2 linked regions of the Oryzias latipes genome follow. The protein of the gene in region 1 interacts with the protein of each later gene in a pairwise test. Links are inferred from orthologs where the notes say so. Each region holds a gene or a part of one and is shown on either strand. Other genes may lie near its edges.

What was found.
Region 2: the proteins of atxn2 (region 1) and endophilin-A1 interact in binary tests that used the Homo sapiens proteins (3 or more experiments, as listed by UniProt). The link is inferred for Oryzias latipes from reciprocal best matches to the Homo sapiens genes ATXN2 and SH3GL2.

Annotation. Positions count from the first base shown.
Region 1 is NC_019867.2:7,489,207-7,501,069, forward strand, and holds part of atxn2 (ataxin-2), read right to left. Parts: 5' UTR 11,529-11,863; coding exon 11,416-11,528; intron 10,856-11,415; coding exon 10,825-10,855; intron 10,463-10,824; coding exon 10,403-10,462; intron 10,041-10,402; coding exon 9,969-10,040; intron 6,774-9,968; coding exon 6,623-6,773; intron 6,437-6,622; coding exon 6,422-6,436; intron 5,501-6,421; coding exon 5,376-5,500; intron 5,221-5,375; coding exon 5,129-5,220; intron 5,000-5,128; coding exon 4,811-4,999; intron 4,005-4,810; coding exon 3,832-4,004; intron 3,491-3,831; coding exon 3,242-3,490; intron 1,605-3,241; coding exon 1,419-1,604; intron 379-1,418; coding exon 223-378; intron 132-222; coding exon 24-131; intron 1-23. UniProt on the Homo sapiens protein: Involved in EGFR trafficking, acting as negative regulator of endocytic EGFR internalization at the plasma membrane.
Region 2 is NC_019876.2:2,735,484-2,747,346, reverse strand, and holds the end of endophilin-A1, read right to left. Parts: intron 11,148-11,863; coding exon 11,079-11,147; intron 10,871-11,078; coding exon 10,798-10,870; intron 10,733-10,797; coding exon 10,589-10,732; intron 9,156-10,588; coding exon 9,022-9,155; intron 8,930-9,021; coding exon 8,771-8,929; intron 8,552-8,770; coding exon 8,448-8,551; intron 8,369-8,447; coding exon 8,238-8,368; intron 7,595-8,237; coding exon 7,398-7,594; 3' UTR 1,794-7,397; downstream 1-1,793. UniProt on the Homo sapiens protein: Implicated in synaptic vesicle endocytosis. May recruit other proteins to membranes with high curvature. Required for BDNF-dependent dendrite outgrowth.

The sequences.
Region 1 (11,863 bases):
ACAGAGTGCAGATGTACACATACCTTTACAGACCCCTCTATTAATACTAGGTGAACTGTCCAGGGACTTGATGATGTCCTTGTTTGCTGACGGGGGTGTCTGTCTCGTCTCCTGGACGCGACATTCTTTAGCTGAGCAGAAACATTTGACATTTTTTAAGCCCAAAAAGAAGAGCAAGTCTTTTGAATTTGTGCTCAAAGTGTTGGGAAACTTTGATCCTACCATCTCCTGTTGGAGACGTGACCATACTTGGGGTGGGGCTAGCAGTTGTGGGTGAAGAGGCGGATGTCAGCGCTTCAGTCTGGGGCGAGGGGAGGGAGGAGGAGCCGGGGGAGCTCCCCCCCATACTGTTTTGTCGGGGTGAACGAGGTCGGTGAGCTTAGAAAGAGATGGAACGTCAAATGTTTCTGTTGGAAATCAAACCTGCGCCTACAAACCACAACCAAGAGCACCAAAGTCTTTACGAATGTTTGAGGGTTTTTTAAACTCCATCATATTACATACAGCTAGAAATCAAAAAATGTTTACTTTATGGTGGTACTAAATCTATGCACAGTGTTTAAAACTGTTTTTTAGTGTTTTTTTTTGTTGTTTTATTACTACAACGGTTGTTTTTGTGTGTACGTTTACTTATCTATTTATTTTGTCTAATTTAAATTTCACCTTGTCGTGCAGATATTATTCTGTTTGTTTTTAATGTTTGTACTCTTAATCCTGTAAAAATACTGGTCACTCTACTAGTCACTTCACTTTATTAGTCACTTTACTTTTGCTTGAATGTCACTTTTGCTGTTTTTGGATGTCTGTTTTTTTGCTGCTGCAGAAAAAAAATAATTTCCCTATCGTGGGATTATTAAAGTCTATCTAATCTAATCTAATCTACCGTAACCTAAAATGGTTCATTCACCCATGTTTCAACACGACACGCCCCGTCACAAAACTCCATATATGGACAATGAAAACCTTCATTGGGTCGGTAAATAAAGTCGGTTAATAGAGTTCTGTCAGAGGAAGGACCAGCATGCCTTTCAGTCGTCTCTCGTGGTGTAATGCAATGTTTGATCAGGGTTTGTGGAGTCGACCACAAAAACACTGCAGCTGCGTAACTGCAGCTCCACAGATAAACTGCAGCTGTCATGAATGTCTTGGTCTGATAAGCTGAGGGCAGCTAATCGGAAGTTAACTGATGTGTCAACTGATTACCTCCAGTCCATTTTTAATGCCTAGCATTTAAATATATTCATTTTTACTTGATTTACTGACAAAAGAAAGAAGAAGAAGAAAAAAAAGCATATAAAGCAATTTATGTTTGTCTAAACCTTGTCCCCAATTAAGGAAATCTGCTTTGATAACAAAAGAAAATAAATATTTCAGCTAATTTAAAAGTTAAAAATCAATTTCAAAAACAAAATATTTACCTCCACTGACTACCGAGGACCAGGTTCCTTCAGAAGAGTTGTTCCTGTTGGGTGGACCGCTTGGCGCCTCTCCTGGTGAATTGTGGGAAATCAAGTCCACTCCGGGGGGCATTCCACTGATTCGAGAGGGGGGCACTCTGTGAGAACGAGGGGTGCGCTGGGATTTTGGAGACATCCTGGGAGGGCCTGCAGATAAAGTAAGCATGCCTTCATAAGCAGACAGTGAGAAGTATAAATGTTATTTTGATCATTGTAAAAGTTTATTTCAATAACAGTAACAGTTAAACCCCAACGGTATGCAGCTTTTGAATCTTAAGGATGCGTTTCAGTGTCACTTTTAAAGTGGTGAAATGGATGTTAATAAACAGAAACTGATCTTGTGATAATTGAAAAACCAAAAGACACTTCAAATCAAAGGAGGACAGACACAGAAAATGGGGAAAAAAAGTGAGACAAAATATTGGACTAAAAAAAGAAAAAGACAGTAATGCTTTAAGAATGGGGCAAATTTTATACTTAAATCTTTTTATTTAGCTCACAGGATTCAGTATCAAATAAACGAAAGTCTAAACTGTTATACATTGTTGTATCGAGTGCATGTTCTCCATTGCCTTTTGTGTATTCTTTTAAATTTGTATGTATTATTTATGAAGTTAGAAGCATCAAGCTCTAAATTATTCATCCCACCATTTCTAAACAGTGATTATGAGATGCAGCTGCTCAAGGTCATTTGGTCCAAACACTGTCCTGTTACCAGATTACATCTGTGGAACCAATGTAAGGACTGAAATATTTCCCAGTTTACTTCGGTTTCCATGGTGAGTTACTGCCTGTATCCTGCTGACTTATTCCACAGCTTTCAAGAAAACATAGAAAATCGGCCATTTATTAGTAAAATAAATGACAATTGAGGTTCCTTCTCAAGGTTATGAACATCTTTCAAAAACTGGATCCAAGATGGTAAGAAAAGTTTAAAAGTGCGACAGAGTGTTAAATTTGGATCAAACCAAAACTATATTGAGGTCTGAGAAGAACATGTTGACTTTGACTAGTCTGACAGTCAGACACATTTCCAATGTACGCCAGGAGTGCAAATGAGTAGCTAGTGATGGTCTTGTAGAGACATTTTTGGGGGGGGGGGGGGGGGGGGGGGGGGGGGAATGGAAAAAATATTTTTTAAATATAAAAATGTAATGCCAAAGCTTATTAAATTTCCATCTTCATAGACATTTTCAATCCAGTGACCTGCAAATGCAGAAACAAAGTAAACAAAAACTACTAATAATGGACTTTCAAACTTCTGAAAGTATCATTTTAGTGTTAAATATCTCACTGACAACCTCACGAGGCTGTACAGTAGTGGGTTTTATCGATTAAAAGTCTGATAAGTGAGCCCTGCTTTGCTGCAAACAAGGTGAGAAACTGGTGACTTTGCATTTTGCACCTTTGTTAGGCAGAAAGCACAGAAACAGCACAACACCTTGATGCACCCACATGCCAAGATGAAACTGCCTGTATGACTGACAAAGGGTCAGCCTTAAGCACTTCCAATTGGATTCATTCGGTAGGGCGTAAAGCAAACACAGGTAAACACTTTTTTTTGGGTTAATCTGTCAAAAATCTGACCCCAAATCAGTCTGAGAAAGCAATTTCACCACTTCTGTTTGACATTAGACCTGGGCAAATGTGTTTATGAAAGTAGTTTTTCCACTGTATTTATTCCTTTTTGTAACCGTTCTGTTGTTTTTTTAGAGCGTGACAACTTCAATCCCTCAACTTTCATGGAGTCTTTGCCCAGGTCTGCTCCACAATCATGTGGATACCTTCTGAAGACATGCGTTTGGGCAGAGTGGAGGCTGGCGACGTGGGCCCATGGTGAGAAAAGGAGGATGAAGAGGAAGAATAGGAGGGATGGGACGAATGAGAGGAAGGCCTGGAAGGTCGAGAGGGGGGTCTGGAGGGTGGTCTTGTGGGCGTGGTCGCCCGAGGAGGCAGAGAGGAGGGGCCAGACTGGTAACGAGAGGGGGGACGAGAGGAAGGAGACGGACAGGGTGAGGGCCAATGGGATGAACCTAAAAGAGGCAAGGACAAATGATCAAGGATGACGAACTAGCAAAAGTGGAGGCGGAGAAAGAAACAAAAAAGGTATAGCAGTAATAGAAAAAGGGAGGGTTGGCACAACTAAAGCAGAATAACATGAAATGTTTTTTCTTAAAACATTAAAGATCTGAAATAATAACTGTTATTCTTCAAAGGCTACACAAAAAAGGATAGAAAAATGACAATGTAATAAATAAGAGGTGGCCACATTTACGTCACTCCATAGAAAACATTTTTAGCATCAACTAAGAGGTTTTTTTTTTTAATAGTGTAAAAAGTAACCCCTGAACTGCAAGTTCTGCAATAAACATACCTCCGTTGACCACTCTCTGGTCTGTCCCAGAGTTGGGACTGTAGTCGTGGGGTCCCGGCCGAGGAGCTGAAGGTCCAACAGAACCTTGACCCAGACGAGGAGAGTTCTGTCGCCCTGTGCTCCATGACAATGGCTCCCTGTTCCTCTGACCTGGTGGAACGTACTTGTTCTCTCTGCATTTAGATACAAAAAGACAAAACAAGAGGTTTCAGATAAACAGGAGAAGCGTTGATCTGCAGTACCCTCTCAGCTGCACACAGAGAGCCGTTTTAAAATTACAGCGTTGTGAACTATCTTAAAGATAACTTTGACAAAAACTGATTTAAAATTTTAAAGTGTGTTTTAAATTGTTTTACATTTTAGCACAAACAACAGAAAACAAATATAAGTATTAATTACAACCCAAAAAATATGAAAACTAAACCAAAACTAAACCAAAACTATAAAACAGGTCAGCTATTTTTATATTCAGGAAAAAAGAAAACTGTATTTACTTTATTTTGAACTAGAAGCACACGAAACTCCATAGATATATATACACACACACATATTTTTTTAATTACTTGTGGTTCAACAAGCAGCTGCTGGAAGTCCTGTCTGTGAAGGAACAGATTCATTACGACTTGGTTCAGTTCAGTGTAGTTTAATTTTTAGGAACTTTTCCTCCTAACAATGTATTCAGGGCCTACACAGCTTTATGGAAGTGCGTGTAGATTTAGATAACAGGCAGGTCTAGTTGCACAACCTCACATAGTTCACTTTGAGAAACTGTTCCTGCAAGGGTAAAAAAAAGATAAAAAGAACTAAAAACTATTGTACTTTTTTTTTAATCTACTGTTGAATTTCAATGGAACTTGAAGTATAGAACTACTGAAGAAGATTAACATAATAAAATCCCAACATGCTATTAACCCCCTACTAAACCTCAACGCAGAGATCTGTACATGATGATGGTTTGTGGCGTGCGTCTTGCTCTCACCTGCCAAGTGTGTGAGTCTCCCTGTCCCCTCGCACCACAGCAGTGTACTTTTCCTCCTCAGTGCGTTCATCGTTCTCCAACGCCACGCGGGCCTTGTACGAGGCGCTGGCCTCAATCTCCTCTGCCAGCTGAGCAGCACGAGCTTCTCTCTTCAGGAACTCTTCAGAGTTGTCACGCTCCAAGGGGAGTCTGGGAAACAAGATCGAATTGGTCGAGAACGGTGCACAATGTTGACAGCCAGGCTTATCTAGCATGCGTTTCCAGTGTTCCCCGCCTTGTGTTAGCAATATGTAGATGAAGAAGCAGGTCAGAGCTTACGTATATGTGGACAGGCTGCTGTCATACGTGGACAAGACTCCATACTTCTCCTCGTTGTACTTGAACATATCATTGGGATCCCATCCGTTTGACTGGTTTGAGGAGAAAGTAGAATTTCACAGAAAGGTCTAAATAAATTGCTAAAACTCTGATGTGTTTTTGTCAATATTGTGGCTAAAATAATAACTTTTGATGTACCACATGGGAGGCATCAACATTACTGTCATGCTTGTGTTCATTTTCTCACCACATCTGTATCTAGAGACTCGAGGCTGTCCGAATTGTGACCATCACCTCCATCCCAGGGCTCCAGGTCCTTCTCTTTGTGCTCTCCATTGATCCTTCCAGTGACGGCTGCATCTGTGAAGTTGTCTAATTAAAAGAAAAGGAAATCAATAGATAATACATGGCAGAGTAATTTAAGACATGGATGAATTCCAACAGTAAGTTAGGACTGAACTAATGTACTATAATCGGTAAATATTGAATCTACAGAAACATCTGCTCAGACGCTATAATATAAAATGCTGCTTAAAATTGGTTTATTTAATGTAGAACGGATTAAAGTGCAATCCAAGATAAAAACAAATAGTGAGAAGTCCCAGATTAGTTTGTGGCTTTAGAGTGTTTTGTTTTGAGCGTCAATAAAAACTGTCTTGTTTCATATTAAGTCTCATGAAGAATCTGTACTTGCATATGTATAAAATGCTTTGGCATTGACAGAGGTAACTCCAACTAATATCTACAAGGAAATGAGACTGAATCTTTGGGGTCATTCTTAGACCTGACACCGACAGTCATACAGCAGGGCTCCTTTCAAGCTTACTAGTTACTCTAGCACAACTAATCGGTCCAAGATTAAACTTCAATTTAAAGAATTCAGACAAATCAATAAGTAAATAAAAATCAAATTAATCCTAAATCCTTAATAGTTTGGTTAAAAGTGGTGCAGAGGAAATCCAACTTCAGCACCAGTAATAATGAAGATCAGTGAAAACATACAATTATGAAGGTCAGCAAAAATAAAAACAAGAAATTCTAATTCATCCAATATCATTTTTCGTTTAAAGCAGAAGGCAGCCTATAGCTGCCTATTACGTGACAAGGAAATATAGGCCTCTAAAAAGAATTTCCCTTCTTCTTTTACAAAAATAAGCATAAAAATAAAGTCACATTTGGTGACATGCTGACATGTTTGCTTACGTTTACAAGACAGCCAAAATAAAGTGAATCAGAGTTAACTGTAAATAAAAATACTTGAGAAAAGCCATAAAAAAGAAAATGATACATTACCTGTATCAGTGGACACTAAACCGGAGGAAAGAAAAGACAAATGACGTAAGAGCATGGACTCCCCCAGTGTTGTCAACAACAAAAAATAATTGGTGTATTAAAAAGGTCTACTTTAGTCTATCATTCTTCAAAACATGTTACAATAAACAACATAAAATAAGCGTATTTACTCTTTACTGAACGCTGAAAAACATGTTATACCTTTTCTAGCAAAATTGGGATCTACGTCTTTAAAAGTCACGACTACAACATCCGAAGCTTTGAAAATGATGCTTTCTACAATATCTTCTTTCCTGGGGCCGGTGGTGGGCTCTGGGCTTTTTCTGTGGGCTGCATCCAACACCAGGTCACACTGTGGGGAAAAACAAACAGTCGAATTCAGATAGATTATGAAAGAAAAGCCTGGAAAAACTGTCAAATAGTTTGGTAAAAGATAGTCAGTAAATATGCTCACACAGTCACTGCAATCATCTTTTGATCTATTGTAAAAGCGTTTCTGGTCATCTTTTGATTATCATTATGCCGTTTTAAGGTGAAATTCAAATTTAAAAAAATAAAGTGTCATTTTCTAGGACATAGTTTCTGAAGTTCATCAGAAATTCGCCTCTGAATTGTGAGCGGGGTTGCTGCTGAAGAAGTAAGCCAGCGCTCATTTTCCATGATTCATTTTGTTTAACTCCATCTCCCTCTAGCTTACAGCCCCAAGATAACATTAGCTGTGCCACAAAAATGGCGAGCAATATTGGAGCTATCGAGATGTACAGATGCCAGCTCGGACGAGGAAAACAAAGACGTAGATGGATCTCTTCGTCCTCCATCATGAGAGAAATGCCACAAGAATATGCCAAAAACAACAAAAACATCATTTTCATTGGAGTGGGTCTTTAATGGGTCAGTGCTGACAGGGTGGAGTACATTTTATTTCATTTTAATATAGGATAGAATAAATAAAAAACTAAACTAGTTGCATACTGAGGGAAGACTGAGACATCTGACCATAAACCAACAAGGGATTTGAACTCACAACTTGTCCTGCCTCCAAATGCTTACTGGCTTTGCCACTAAAAGTCATTACATGTAAATCTAATAAAGTTAGGCTTTTCTGCCCCCCCAGTTCATTTGAGAAATTTGTTCAAATCAAAGCGTATTTATTCTGTGTAGTTTTACATGCCTTGTTTTTTAAACGGCACACTGTGTTCTTTGTCCTGATTGGCTGCTGACCTTGTCAATCAATGTGTTCTGTGCAGTGTCTCTTGTACAGAATTAAACAGGAGAGATAAGTGCGAAAAAAATGTTTGTACACTTTTCTCAGATGGACACAAAGTGTGCAGTGGGGGGGGGTTTACAACCTCAAAAGATATTTATTCCTAACTTGCAGATTTTACCTACAATGGATTATTTTTAAAATGTAATTCTTGCACTAAACACGGAACACTTGCTGAGGGAAACTGGTGTGCACATATCCTGGGTCAGGGTAGTTATTCCAAAAGGTAAATCTGAAATTCTTGCAGATTATCCAGTCTTTGGTGTTTTTTACACCAAAGACTGGATTATATAATATCTATTATATTACAAACTCAGACTTTAAAAAAGAAAAAGGTCCATTCCACTATTATCTGCTCTACCATCTTTGATATTGTGCACAGTGCAGTCAGGCTGGTAGCATTTTACAAACATCAGCCAAACTCAGACTCGTTCATCTGACTGCCAACTAGAAATACAGGCATGATTTTTAAATTGGGAAAAAAATGTTCCACTGCTTCACAGTTCAGTGGCGGGGTAGCATTTAACTAAATCTGATATTGCAATGGTTTCTGGGATCCTTGCTTGTGTTCAGCCACTGACAAGTATCAATATTTCTTTCCTATTTGACTTATGCTTATTTTCATGAAACAATTTGGATCTGGTCATATAGGGAACCTGGAAAGACTTACTGATTTAAACACAAAGAGCAGCTCAGATTTAATCTGAGCTCCTATCGTTTTGAAAATCTTCCATTTTCCTAAACTTAGATTTGACCTTGAAACATCTTGTCCAATCAACGAGGTGTAACAAATGTGGCCTATCAATCCAGCTGGATTACTCTTCAACCCTCAGCTCAATTTATTTTTTTCTTTATCTGGTTTGCCGACTTTTCTTTTTTTGTGTCAACAGTGATGCTGTGAATCCTAAAAAGTAGCTTTCATGGGAATACTTCTAGCAAAAATGTGTCATCAGGAGAAGATATTAGTCAAACTTTCACCATATATTTTATATCCTTAAATGATGACATTGACCTTCATGAACATAACCCTAATCTAAGCAATAACACAGGATTTAGTCTAACTGTAATGTTAAACCACAGACCGGCTTCTGCAAGATATTAGTCCATTCCTTTTTATAGTGCATACATTTGGATTAAAAAAAACAACAACAACTAAATTCATCACATTTTCTACTTACTGCTGCATCTTATTTAACTTTTTATGTAGAAAATTGGCTTTTTTGTCAAAAAATAAATTGAAAAAGGAGCAGCACAAAAGTTGGCAATGGTATAAATTTAAATTGATAGGAAGCATTCAGATTGCTCCAATTTTTTTTTTTTTTTCAGTTCCTAAAGTCAAAAACCAAACATGGAGGAGCTGCACTCAGCTTCTATGCTCCACATATCTGGAAGAGATTTCCAGAAAGCCTTAGATCAGCTGAAACACTTAGTTTATTTAGATCCAGATAAAGACCCACCAGATCTCTGCTGCATTTGATTAGTTTGTATTCAAAAGTTGACATCCACACTGTTTATCCATGCTTCAGTTAAATGAAGTTATTTTTTAACTTTCTTCAAATCTTATTTTAATGATCTTTCTAAATATGTATTTGATTGCTTCTTTAAATGTTTTATGTTAAGCGCTTTGAGTTGTCTTTGCACATGAAATGTGCTAAACAAATAAACTTTCCTGGCCTAACAGTTACATAATATAAATGACTGAACATATCGTTGCAGTCTCAAAGTACCCCCCTACCCTCTAACCATTCTTTGCAGGGTTGACTCACCATCTAAAAAGAGCTAACAAAAACATCAACATTTAAACATTTCTGCAAATGTAAATGTCCAGTGCAGTAAAAAACAGAAAAAAGTCGAGCTTTATTCTTTTGACCCCGTGCGAAAAGTGGCATTAGCTTCTAAAAGCAAAGAATATTCAGATTCTTTTTTAAAGCTGCTATTTTTATTGACATAACACACATGCGGCCTTAGAGAGGCAGTAACATACTTAAGAAACATAAAATAAGGAAAAGTCTTTGATAATTGTACGGAAAAGTCTTTTCTGTTTAGCGTCATGCTTTACTAAATGAGCTGCAGTTTTTCATTGCTGCGGTAAAATTGTTCATCTGAACATGACATTTTTAAACAGATTGACCTTCAAAAGTTCACGAGTAATACACACAGAATTTATGGAAGGAATAATGCCCCCCCCCCCCCCCACTCTACTCTGGTATCTTAATCTGTTATTAGGTATGTGCAGAAAATAGTTACAATGGAACTTTATCATGTTTCCTGCTCTTTACTTACCTCTGGACCGTACGTCTTAAATACGCCTTCGTACACAGAACCGTTTTTCACCTCCAGCTCACACTTTGTCCCCTGCAAAAGGCAATTTTGTTAATGTATGCAGCAACTGTTTATTCAATTAATTTCATTATTTTAAACAAAACAAAAAAGGAACTTCAAATGGATTTGTCACAGAATAAACAAAAAAAAAAGGATCAATCTTATCTTTGTTTATATAATCAACTGTTTCCTTACAAACATTCCTAAGGTTTAAAAACACAGCATGAGTCCAAACAAAAAACTCCAACACTACTATTACTCTGTGAGCTACAGTAATATATTTGTGGTTATTTTCTTTACAATATGTTCGACTTGTGCTTTATTAGTAGGAAATATTAGAAACAAAATAGAAAGACAGTTATTGCAATTAACTCAGGATATTAAGGTCAACTTACCACCACTGAAGTCAAAACGTGGACCATCCTCATATTTGCATAAACACCACTGAAAATGACCTAAAAAAAGAAAGAAAGAAAGAAAGAAAGAAAGAAAGAAAGAAAGAAAGAAAGAAAGAAAGAAAGAAAGAAAGAAAGAAAGAAAGAAAGAAAGAAAATGCACATAATCTGCTGCTCACAATTTGCTGATAAATAAACAGTAGGTCACATCCGAATGACATCCACAAAACATCAGTTCACTTTGGAATAAAGCACAAAATATGCTTTTATTAACCTGAGCTTTTCTGACTCATGGCTACTTTTAAACACAAACTTGTGTTTCACCAATACATTCAAAACACTTGCAGGTAACAGATGCATGTTAACCAGCATGCATACATACATATTAATATGATTTTTTTAAAGAATTATTGGTAACTTACAGCTGCAGGACCTTTACCACCGTGTCTTCCCCTGAGGAAAAAAAATATTTCTATATTGCTGACAAACTTTCTTACAATTGATGCATTCTACAATAAAGATTGCATGTTCTGACTGGGTAAACTCTACAAAACAGCTCTGTACGTGAAAGAAAATGCCATGATCGTTGACACAATAAAATGTCCCATTTCAATCCAAAAAAAAAAAAAAAACATTTCTGGGTGGGCCATTCTAAACCGCCGGGGTTACATAGAGCATGCGAGGTGAAAGGGACGTTTAGATGCACATTTTATATGCACATTCATATGGTTTGTTTTTTTTAAATCCGTGTATAACTAGAAAAAGTCGAAACATTGCTGAACATTAGCGGTTAGGCCTCGCTAGCCGAGCTGCAAAACGTTTTACCTGATGACCAGAGCATGACGCAAGGCCCGCATTTCATTCTCTGACACGCACAAATTTTACCATTTAGCATGTATGTCATCTCTTCAAACTAAAACCGTCTAAAGTGATTATATGTATTTACTGAATAGAGGTCACAGATACCTTTAGTAAAATTTATTTTTACAATGAATTTTGATATTATTACTGACCTGCCCAGATTCTGTCTTCCACCGCCGCTTCCCCCGGCACCGGAGGCGGCCCCACCACCAGCGGTGTTACCACCGCCGGGCTTGCTGCGATTTCCACCGGTCTTCAATGACATAATGATCCCATAAAAAACAAAGTCTTAAAATGACAACTTTCAGACGTGAATTTCCTCGGTGACAGCTTGCCAACGTGCTAGCAGGCTAATGTCAACGTGAATGTTATGCTAAGACGCTTGCTAACTAACTCCGGTGCACAGTTGCTCCCTCAAATTAGCAATCTGTACAAATATTTTTAAAACAGGAAAAAAAAACAAGTTTTAAAAAGACGACGCGCTCCTGAAATCCCCCCAAAAAACGTTACGCCACTTGTCAATTTTTTATGAAACCCTAAAAAAAGATTTAATTTTTTTTTTTCTAAATACGTTCACAGCTAGCTTGGGCTCTTTCCGTT
Region 2 (11,863 bases), on another chromosome or scaffold:
ACATGAATACGTAGATCTATTCGTATATTTTATTTTAGTGCACGTTTCCTGTCTTCGCTAAAGTAACGTACAATGTTTTCCGAGACCTCGTGAAGGCATCATGCTTAGACTTTTAAAAGGAGGGAAACGGCGGTGTGCTAAACAAAGCTCCACGGCGCCTCTAGCGGCCAGTCGACCAACAAACCACATTCGATCGTTTACAGTTTCCGGTCGTGACTTTCCTCTTTCTTGATCGTACAAAAATATTATTTGATGTAAAAAAAGACACAGATGGTATAGTTGTACTAAAGCCCAAATGTAGTGTTTTAGGTTCTTCAAGAAAATCTTTCTTTTGCTTCTCCTCAACAATAGTGTTCAGTCAGTGGGGGGATTAGCACAGACACCTGAGGAACACCAGTTCTGATGGTGTGTTGGTGCCATTTTCAGTAAAACGGTCAGACAGAGGCAAAAACAGAGTACAAAATCAGTGACTAGCTAAAATGAAACGTGTTTGGTGGTCTAGTGGGCTTAATCTCATGTTGTATGTTCCTCAGAGCAACTGGACTTTAAAGGTTGTATCTCAGTCTGATCTCCAGGTTAGCAATAGTGTACTTTTTCCAAGACTTAAATGTATACTTTTTTTGTGGCAAAAGTCTATTCATAGGCTCCTCCTGGTATAAAATCATCTCCAGACAGCTTCATCCCTAACCCCTGCACACGTTGAATGGGTTTTGCCAGCAGTTGTGTTTTCATATAGAGAAAATGTTGAATGTAAACCACCTTTCTCAAACTATCTTGTTTTTAAAGATCATCTTAAAGTCTAGATGAGGTGGTCTAGATTGGAGCAGGGCGGTCCAACTTAGATCTTAAAAAGCCAACAACCAACGCCAAACATAATGTCATCCATTTACCAGAGTAAAAACCTGATTAATATAAACAATAAAACGTATATTTATTCATGAGTCCCCTGTCCTGATGATGAACACTTGGATGACTTATTGAAGAAGTTCATGTGTTTTTGTATATGACAAGTTGTTCAAACCCATTGCACTGTGGTTCATATTCACCAATCTAGTGAGCATCACCACACACAAATTTTTTGCAAAGACTTTTGGGAAATTTCAAAGGTACTAGATCTTGCAAAGTGTAGATTTGGACAAAAAAAACCTTTACTGTGGACCAAGTAAAGAGTAGTGAGGAAATTCAGACAAAGCCTGAGGCTGTGTCAGAATTACTTTAACCCTTAACCCTTGTGCTATCCTAGGCACTTTAACGTTGGGAGTTGGGTCATCTAGACCCACTAGACAGTGCTCTGAACCTTTTTTCTTCCATGATTTGTGATCTTCACTGGTGTCCATGGATTACATGAAATCTTTCCACCTTTATCCACTTTTGTCATGGTAGGGAGAACACGTCAATGTAAGGGGGGGTCATCTAAGATAGCACAAGGGCTAAGAGAGTAAATAGTACGGGACTATCCTATATTTTCATGTCATTGAAAAACAAATAAGAACCTTTTGGAAAGAAAACTTATGTATTCACTCTGTTCTGACGATCAAAAGTTGGATTATTAAAAAAATGTATAAAGATTTGAACTGTAAATTGGGACATCTCGTAAAAATTGGACCCATGTGGGATCTAGAAGATGGATACTCCTAATGCAGCAAGTAGATCCAGCTAACAGGATAATAACCTATTAGCTTGGAAATAATGGAAGAAAGGTCAATAAAAACAACATCTAAGCCTTTGTACTAACATAACGCAACTTTTACAGAAATGTTTCAAGTCCAAAGTACAGATTAACGAGAGGATCATCATAGTGTTTATGCTTTATTGTCATTAGATTGTACTTCATCTTCACGACAAGCAGTTATACATACAGTGGTCTTTAAGTATATCTTTGTCCAGTACAAGGAGAGCAACAGTTAGTGTCACAGCTAGCTTTGTACCCCAATGACCAACCCATCCGCCCCCCCACCCCCACACCCCTCCATTAACCAGCCCCTCCCCCAAAGGTCCACCCTCCTCCACATTACACAGCAATGTGCCAACAACCGTCAATTACACCACAGGTGCCTGACCAATAAATAGGACGCTGGAATAAATAAACAAACAACCAAATAAATAAATACATACAACACCTACATAAATAGCAACAAGGTGTTTCTATATTTACATACACACAGGCAGCTCTCCAGAGGACAGGAGCTTTTCTGATTCATTTTGAAATGTTTACGACCATATAGTTCTATGACGTAACGCGGGTCAGACCACGGCCACATTATCATGCCCCAGAGATGACGGTGCAAAACTGTATCAGCCTTTGCTCAACAGCAGGCCGGGCCTGACTGCTTATCAGAGGAAAAGACGCTAAAAAAGATTTTTTTACACTGAGCAAAGTTGACCTTTTTAACATTTTTGAAGTGAGTTATTGTGTGATAAACTCAATTTTCCTCAATGGTTCTAGAGGTTTAATCTACCGACGAACTGTGTCCTGTCAACACCTTTGGACTGAAACCTTACAGCTCCTCGTCCCGCTAAAGTTGGCATACGAGACGTCAGTACCAAGATGACGGTGCAGTGCTCAAAAGTGACGAGCACAGGAAAAAAACCTGCACTTCCTGCCGTTCTGAGGAAGTTTGTTCCACATAAGCGACTCTGCTTTGCTTAAACGATTTAACATAAATACAAAGCTGCAGAAGACGGAAAATCCTGACAGCCTTCATGTTAAAATGTGGATTTCTGTGATTGAAATTCAGGTTTAATTGGTTTATAAATATATAAAAAAGCTTTTTTTTCTGCTTCCCTTCAGAGACAGGACTGACGCTTTCAGCCAGAGGAGGCCGCCAATGTGGTCGAGGTCTGACTGTCAGACGGTGAAAACACAGAAACGCTGTACAATCCCTCATTGAGGTTAGAATACATGTCGCCATAGAGGGCAAATCAGCGAAGAAAACGTGAAGTAGTTTAAAAAAAACAGGGTTCAGAGAATGAAGTCTTAAAGCACTAAATCAAAAGGCTGCATGGATGTGGGCCAAGCTGGTGAAAATATAAAAAACAGTGAAAATAGTTACAATAAGAAGGAAATTAAATTCAAAGCTAACAGGAAGAGAAGGGGGAAAAGGTTTTCCTCCTTTAGTTTCTTATGTTAACTTTCTGTTTAGATTTTTGGAAACCCCCTCTTCACATCTCAAACACAATTCACAAACAGGTTTGGAAAATTCAGATTTTCCGACACAAAAGGAGGTCAAAAACATTTTGAAAGGGAAAGCCCTGTCTTTTACGACCACCTGAAACAGGACTGTTCACTTTGCATTTGTGTTTTTAATGTCCAACATGACCGCAAAGAAAATCTTCCTTCATGAAATGTTAATTTTTATAAACGTATTGCCTTTAGTGTTGATTGGATCAGGATATTGAACTTCCTAAAGAACTTCTTTCCAAAAGAATTTCCCCATCGTGGGATAAATGGTGTCTTATCCACTCTAATCTAACTCGTGACACTTGTTTTAATGTTGAACTTTATGCTCCCCAAACAAGTTGTGGAAAAACTATGTATTCAGTTGACTCTTTCTATAGAAACACAAAATAAAAGGTAAAAAACCAAAGGAACGTTGTTTATTTGGTAAACTCTTGTATTCTGACTAAGTGAAATTTAAACAAAACACCGCTGAGTATTCAGTTTCAAAGAATTGGTGTGATCTGGAGTCCTGTACGTGCTTATTTATCATTCTGTTTAAATAATCTTCAATGAGTTTGTATATTTTTTATAAAGTCTACTCTGTCTCTAAAGTCCATGCCGTCCCTAATGGTTTGACTGCAACGACTACATGCCTACTTAAATAAAAAAAAAGTAACGCAAAACCTTTTTTTTAAACAATACAAAGCATACTAAATGCAGTTTTTAAAATATATATATCTATACTTCAATGCAGAATAACTAAAGTATTTTGCAACAAAACAAAAAAAAGTAACAGGTTGGCCACTTCTGCAATATTAGCAAATTGTTGGTTAGACGAATGCAAAACAATTGGTCATATCTGGAACGTTAGAATTCACTATGCTAATGCGAGAAAACAAATAAACAGTATAAAGAAAATAAGAAATATTTTTTTAGTATTGTAATATCCATACCCAATGCATTGTGGGAAGTAATGTTTTGTGTTTTCATGGTTTGCACCACAAGTTAATGGGTTCTGGAAGTGGTAATACAGCACTGAAACCGGTCTGTTAAATGGTTCGTACCGCGGACATTGGACTGTGCCATTTATGTTGTGCCTCCTGTACTTCTGGCTGCTCTGGGTCATGAGGTACATGGGGCTCGATTTAGCTCATCATTCTGCTATCTAGTGCGGTTTAAGCAGTAGATGCATTTTGTTAGTCTCAGCATAGTTAGCTGAGTTCTGCCTCATCTCATTCCTAACGTGTATCTAGCCATTGCGGCAGCTACATTTGTGTCAGAAGTGGGATTTCCACTGTCAGAAAACCACCATAATAGAATGAAACTCAACAATGCTAACTAGCAGGGTACTAGCAAACACTGCCTTAACCACACTAAAAGACAGAATGTTGAGCTGACTTGTCCTCCATACAACCCTGAGCAACCAGACGTACAGGAGGCACAACGGAAATGGCGCAGTCCAACGTCCTCAGTACAAACAATTTATTATAAATAATCAGGCACACACAACATTGCAATGACAGTGTGACGTCACCCTGTGAGAAACCCACTAAAATCTGGTACAAACCAAAACAAAACCGAACAAAGCATTACTTCCCACAATGCATTGGGCAGAGTCATTATGCCCTATTAGAACTAGCTATGCTAATCTGATGGTTTTAGTCCTTCCTGATACATTAGATATGCTAATTTGAAGAGAAAAGCTAACGATTAGCCACCTCTGCCATGTTAGCGATAGTAATGTGAGCACAAATGTATGCTAAAAATGAGTTTACATTTTTATAGTTTGAAATTTTAAGCAGTTTCCATTTAGAGCACACTGGATTCTTTTATAAATGACGTTTGCGTTGACTGCTAGCTCTCACACAACAAGAAGCTCTTTATTATTGTCTGAAGAAACCATCTAAACCTGCAGATAATGCTACGTAACAACACATTTTCCGTTTCACTTCCAAACCAGCTACAGAACACCTCCTAATTACAGAAAACATTCTCAGCTTTTTACTAGCAACACTTAACAGGTGCAAAGGCTACAATCTTTAACCGCAAGCTATATTTCAAAAGCTGTTAGGCTCGTATTACATCTGTAACAATACTAACCTGGTTTCACAGATGTTTACACACAAACCAAAGGTTTCTATTTCTGGTGAGAGTTAGTTTTCCTTCCAGATATCAGCATTAACAAAAGCGTATCTCCAAGAGACTTTAAAAAAAAACAGCTAAATTAACCTGATTCATGGTGTGTCTGCTAAACTGTAATGCTGTTACTAGTAATACTTGTTATGGAGGATAAACATGGTAACCGGTTACCAGCACTAACTTCTTCTGTTTAGCTTAATGTTGGAGCTGCATGAGAAAACAAACCAGTGATAATAATGTTTCATCAAACATCTGAAAGTTTTCAATTTTTATAACTTTTGTTTATTTTTATCTGTATGCCAATTCTGTTAGGACATGGCGTTTCCTGTATGTTTTTGGGCCATTTTTGGTACCTTTTATAAATTCTATGTTAAAAGACAAAACTTTACTCATAAACATTTTTTAAAACAATTTTTCAAAACAGTTTTTGTGTGAAAAGACCTGCTCCCCACATCACTAGTTCTACCATTATGGCTATAGGGGACGTCCGTTCAGCCTTCAGTACCAGAGTTACCACCGGTGAGACGAAATAACAGACGGACTACCGTAACTCTTTGACCATTTATGCAATGAACGTGATTCCAAGATAGGCGATAGGCTGAGAAAAGCGGCTATGTTTTGGCTCAAAGATGCTTTTCTCCGTCTCAGAGTTAGGTTACTTGAGTAAGCGGTTGAAGAGTTATGGTAGCTAAGTTAAAGAGCGCCAACACAGGAGCTAAAGCTCTGGTGTTAAAGGGTAATCAATCTTTGAAATATTTGTAGGAAAAGCTAAATAAAAATGTCAAGAATGGGCAATAAATAATCAAGGACTCTACAGTTTCCTCTAGACTTTAGTGTGTTTTCTGTAAAACTACACACACTGTGTTTAGAAGAGAACCTTTGTGAAAACAACGTTGTGCTCTTAAGCCAGGCAGCTTCACATAAGCAAACCATCTGCATCTGAAAGTCACATTTGGGGTGTTGGTTCCGGCAAATCCTGAATGGGCTTAACGACATTTCTGGAGCGCCTAGCCTGTTAGCTCATCCTGCATGCAAAAGCCACAGATTAGACAAATTGACGAGCACCAACTCCACAGAGTACAAACCAACAATGTAACTGAATACTATCTAAGTTACTTAGATAAGAACATAATCAAATCCAGCAGCCTGCTGAAGGCTGCTCGGTCTCGCCTGCTGGTTGGAAAAGCGCCTCTCCATCTGACCATGTTCACTTCGTTGAATGAATTTTCTAGATCTTCATCCAGTAAAAGCCGGCTGACCCTTTAAGAGGCGGCTAAATCTATAATACAAGGCAAACGGATGTCACAAAAAGTGACGAAAAGTTCACTTATTTATCCTGAAAACACTGACTTATTGGAGGTATGTCTTTGTTCCGGCCATGCACTCCTGGAACCCGAGTTTCCCCAGAGTCTGATCACTTTAGGTCTGGATTCATCTGGTTCATGCAGCTGAAGGTTTACACAGGTTCTAAAAGAAGCAGGATACGTTACAAGAACCGCTAAAAGTGGGTGAGACGTTCTCAACAGCAGAGGCTGCAGAGCTGCAGATCCTAGAGGGAATACAAGTCAAAGGAGCAAGAGAAGAAGGCTAGAAAGACCGCTGTGATGGTTGCTGGGAGTTTAAGAAACGGATAAGAAGGAAAGTCAAGGTAGAAAAGACCGTTTCCTCCTGGAAAGGGAAGAAGAGGACAAAAAAACAACAGAAGAAACTGTTATGCAGTTGATGGACAAGCAGGAGTTTGTGCTGGCTTCATCATAACAGAGCACGAACAGGTCACACAGACATGCACATACATAAACCCTGGGCCTCGTTTCTCCACAGCATCATTGGTGTCCAGTGCTGCCAGGTTGAGCCACGCCCTGTAAAGGATCTCTTCATCTCCTACAGACTTCTGCATCCATCTTTGTTAAAGTCTCCGTGTCAGGATTTTGTGTTGTCCGGCCGTTTTCCGTTTCAGTTTCTTGTGTGAAAGCAGAATCGCACAGAAGCACAGAAGAAGAATACAAAGAAGAGAAAGGGCGTGGTTTGTTTTGTAAATGCAGGTTGTCTTCTGGGTGTCTGGATTGAAAGGAGGCGAGCACCAGGTCGCCGACCGGACTTAATGAGGGAGCGGCACCAGGATATCCACATAGTTGATGGGGAAGAAGCCCGACTGGCCATTGATCATGCCCTCGTACCAGTTGTCGTCGATCTGATTGGTCAGGGTGATGATGTCACCCTCCTTGAAGCCCAACTCCCCCTCGTTTTCTGGCTCAAAGTCGTAGAGCGCTCGGCAACACGGCTGGTCCATGGGGGCTGCAAGAGAGTGAGAGTCAAAACCAATTCTGCTAGTGTAGAATTCATCCGTTCGTCCATCCATCCACCCATCCATCCATCCACCCATCCATCCATCCATCTATCCATCCATCCGTCCATCTATCCATCCATCCATTCATCCATCCATCCATCCATCCATCCACAGGTTTTCATTCTCTCATACGTGTTTAAACACCAATGGGTTTGGATTTAGACCCCCCCCCAACAATAGTTATAGAAGTTTTGCTTGCCGCTCTGAAGCGTCACAGGAAACACATCACCAATGATCTCAGAGAGGTTGCTGCTGATGAACATCGACCAAGGCAGAGAAATGGAACAATATTCACTGCGGCTGCGATATTCCAATAGTCTTAAAAAAGACTAATGGATCTTTCTGGCTCTAATGCCTCTAATCTGCTTAAAATAGAAAAGGTTTGCCGCTGTGTTCTGATCAGAGTAAGTGAGATGTCAGGGTTTAGAACTATCTCAGTCCAGAACACAGAGTTCTCAACAATTACTCAACAAATGGTTGCTATTTTGGTGTTTTTTGGAGAAGTCATGAATTGGTGTCGTTTCAGTCCCTATGCTGTCTCGGTTGAAGGTGACTGCACAGCCGGTGTGTGTTTCTCGCCATATTTCCTACCTGGTGATCTTCCGGGAGATTTGGCAGAGTGTATCCCCCCATTGTGGCTCTCGCTGGGGGGCAGCAGCTCCAGTGTCATTCTGGGTTTGGGACTGTACTCTTTCCTGGGTTTACTGGAAACTTCTTTTATCCTGGAAAGAAGCCAGAAGGAAGAGCTTTTTTCATTTGTGACCGCTCATTTCTGGCCCCAGCAGGCGGGCGGATCGATACCTGTCCTCCATCTTGCTGGAGAGCTGCTGCAGGATTTCGGCGGCTCGGCTGTGGTACTCCAACTGAGCCTGGACCAGCGCTGCCAGCTGGCTCACCTGCTCGATCTGCAACACACACAGGCATGTTTATCAGCTGCCTCTCATGCATGCTGGGCCTGGCCTCCTCCGCCTGGCAACCAAGCGCCTGTCTTTATTTTGTGGTTGCGGTTTTAATCAGGAGGGGGCTTTGGCTAAATATGTGTAACTATAGCAACAAGGGAAGCATTTGGGAAAGTAGAACAGGGCCAGATTTCTGGAGGACTGAATGAACAGGTTTATCCTCACGTCGCTCTCCAGCAGGTTGAACATGCTCTGCTCTGCGATCTCTTTGCTCTCGTCAAACTTCTCCAGCGCTTGTTTGATCTCCTCGTCCTGAACTTTTCCCTGACGTTTCTTCTTGTAGTCGAAGTCCAGGCGACGACCCTCCATCTTCTTCAAATGGTGCTGGATTGGATGGAAACATGTTTGGGATCAGAAAGGAAAACTAAGTCCTGACAGAGGGGACTCAAAGCTAAGTCATTTAGAAAAAACCGTACCTGGATCTCTTTCAGGTCTTTGTCGTGGAGGTTCTGCAGCGGGTCGATGAAGTTCTGTTTGACCTCCATGTCCAGAGCGTCCTTCACCTCCCCGAGCTCCTTTATCGACTCGCCTGCATCGATGAGAGCCATGCCTGAGGAGAGGAGGAGAGGGGATGAGAAACAGAGTCAGGAGGAACTTCCAGAGGAAGTTCTGATGAGGATCCAGATCATCATGTTCTGGTTTAATGCAGATAGACTGAAGTGCACCAGACATACAGAGGGCAGGTCCAGGGGGCTTTTGATGCTGATGGACATTTTTAGAAATGAAACTTTAACCAACCGTTCTTCGGGATCTGCTTGCATCAGGATGAGAAGGTTTCATGATGGCTTCTCTCTGAATGCAGGTTTATATGTTTGGAACATCTAAGTGTTGAATAGGAAATAGACCTGAACTTTGGTGTCTGCAGCTGCATAGATATTTGTGAAGCTAATCCACCCATTGAAGTCAATCGCAGACCGCATTGGTGGACGTCCACATGTGGATTTAGCAGTATGAAGCTACTGTAGCTTTAGTCTAACTTTAAGAAATGATGTTAAAGCTGAAATAAAATGTATATCCATTTGTCGTCAATCGTCTCTTTTGATTGATCTGAATGGATGAAGGCTCTGAACCTGAACAACATCTGCAGAACCTCTTCATCCACACAAACACACTAGTTCACAGACCGACGAACGAGGGATGGCGTTGATGGGTGGTACCTTCATTTATCCAGGTAGACGTTTAAGAACAAGTTCATGACCCTGCCAAGAGGCTACAGATACAACCCAAGTCCCTGGATGTTCAGTTTGTTTCCTATTGGAAACAGGATTTAACCCTCTGACATCACAGATGTCACTGGTGACACCTAAAAAACACACGCTCTTTGTCATTCTGTAAGTCTTCCACTGTTTTATGCGATCAACACTTTGCTGATTTTCTCCACAACAGAATCCGCTGGAATTACGTTAATTATAATTAAAATTATTGAAGAGTTACAGTAGTCCAAAGAATGCCAACACTGGAGCTAAAGGGTTAAAACCCTTTGGAGCCACAGATCCTCCTTTCAGGACCTGGTGAGTCAAGACCTGGAGACCTGGGAGTGAAATCTGAGATTCAGGACTGTTTAGCCAACTCCTGCTGACAGGTGGAAAGTCTCAGAGGCACAGGAGCTCCTGCCAAAACAAACAGGTTTTTGTTACAATGTTGAGGAAGGAGCGGACGATGTGCCAAAAGACACGTCACCAGACCAATGAAAGCTTTGGAAAAACACAGAGCCGAGCTTTTTCGTTCCTGACTTGTTTGAATAGCTGGAGTAGACAGGACTTTAGTTTACTCTGTTCTGAAGGATAAATATTTTCTCAACACCGCCACAGCCACAGCCACAGCCACCGCTCCATAGCATCATCAGGTGCCAACGGTGTGTCGATATTTGGGATTCTGCAGTTAGTCTGGTGTTACAAATCTGTATTTTTGATATTTGAAGGTCATGGGGAGTACAGAAGAACTCCACTGAACACATAACATTCCAGGAACATTCCCACTCACCAAAACTGGACTCTTCTCCCAGCTCTCGTCCAAACTTCAACATGGCGTCCCCCAGGATGGTCTCAGCTTGCGGGTAGCCCGGCCCCTTGTCCTGGCCGCGGATCTTGGACATGGTGTTGATCATGCTCAGCTTGGCTCTGGATGCTGAGGGGAATCAGGAGCGTCAGTGTTTGTGCTGTGGTCGGGGAAGGTGGGGGGGTGTTTGGTACCTGGGTTGGGCTGAAGGTACTCTGTGGTTTTGGTCATGATGTCCAGCACCGCTCTGCTGGTGATGTCCACCTTCTGTGGAGCAACAAGAAAAACAACATTTCAGACAAAAAGGAGCAGCATGAACGTAGAAACATTTCAAGCTGTTTGTTTTGTAGCTGGATGCTCAGATGATCCACAGATTCCTTAACCCTTAAAATGCTTTTCTTGCATTCTTTAGTGCTATAGATAATTCCTAACAAATGAGACTCATGTAAAGTAGATAAAAGACAAACAGAAGAACCTTCTCCATCTCTTTGAAGTCATCATCTAGCTTGGTTCCTTCGGCTCCTCCAACCTTCTCACTGACTTTCTGTGAGGAGACAGACAGAGAAAGGGTTCATGATGTCTGCCTTCAAGCTCTTCATCGTCTGGGTGCAGAAACACTCGCCGGCGTTGACAGTCTTTCATGAAAAGTTAAAGTGAGACGTGCTGCTTCTGCCGCTGTGAGATTAAAGCAGAGATGAAAAATAGAATTCTCAAAGGAGGAAATGAAATAACAAGCAGCTTGTGGTCTTTGGAAGTGTTATTAGTTCTGTTTGACTGTCAAGAACCTCGGCGACCACATTTATGATGAAGTGGAAACGAAAACAAAAAGAAAATTCATATTAAACTTCAAGGAAAAGAAAAGGGGTCAACCTTAAACCATGAAATGAAATAAAAAGTTTCCTCTTTTTAGCACCAACAGGAACAAAGTGAGTCAGAAAGCCTTTTTTTCCTGGAGGTGTAAAGCGAGCAGCCTGAACATCTCAGACTCTTGGATGAGGTGAAGCCGTCTGAACTGGAGCAGCAGATCCGCCTTTATGCCTTTAACGTCATCCTTTTATGTCTGTCACAATAAAGCCGCTCCATCACGCCGTCCTAAAAGGCCGACTCATTCAAGAGTCTGTTTCCACTTTCAGTAGATGTCTGAGTGACGCAGACAAAAGCATTTCTCTGCTGCTATGAGTCCATGAATGCACTCTAAATGTAAAACAGGATTTCATTCACATACAGTCCCATTAATAGACCCCCCCCCCCCCCAGCGGT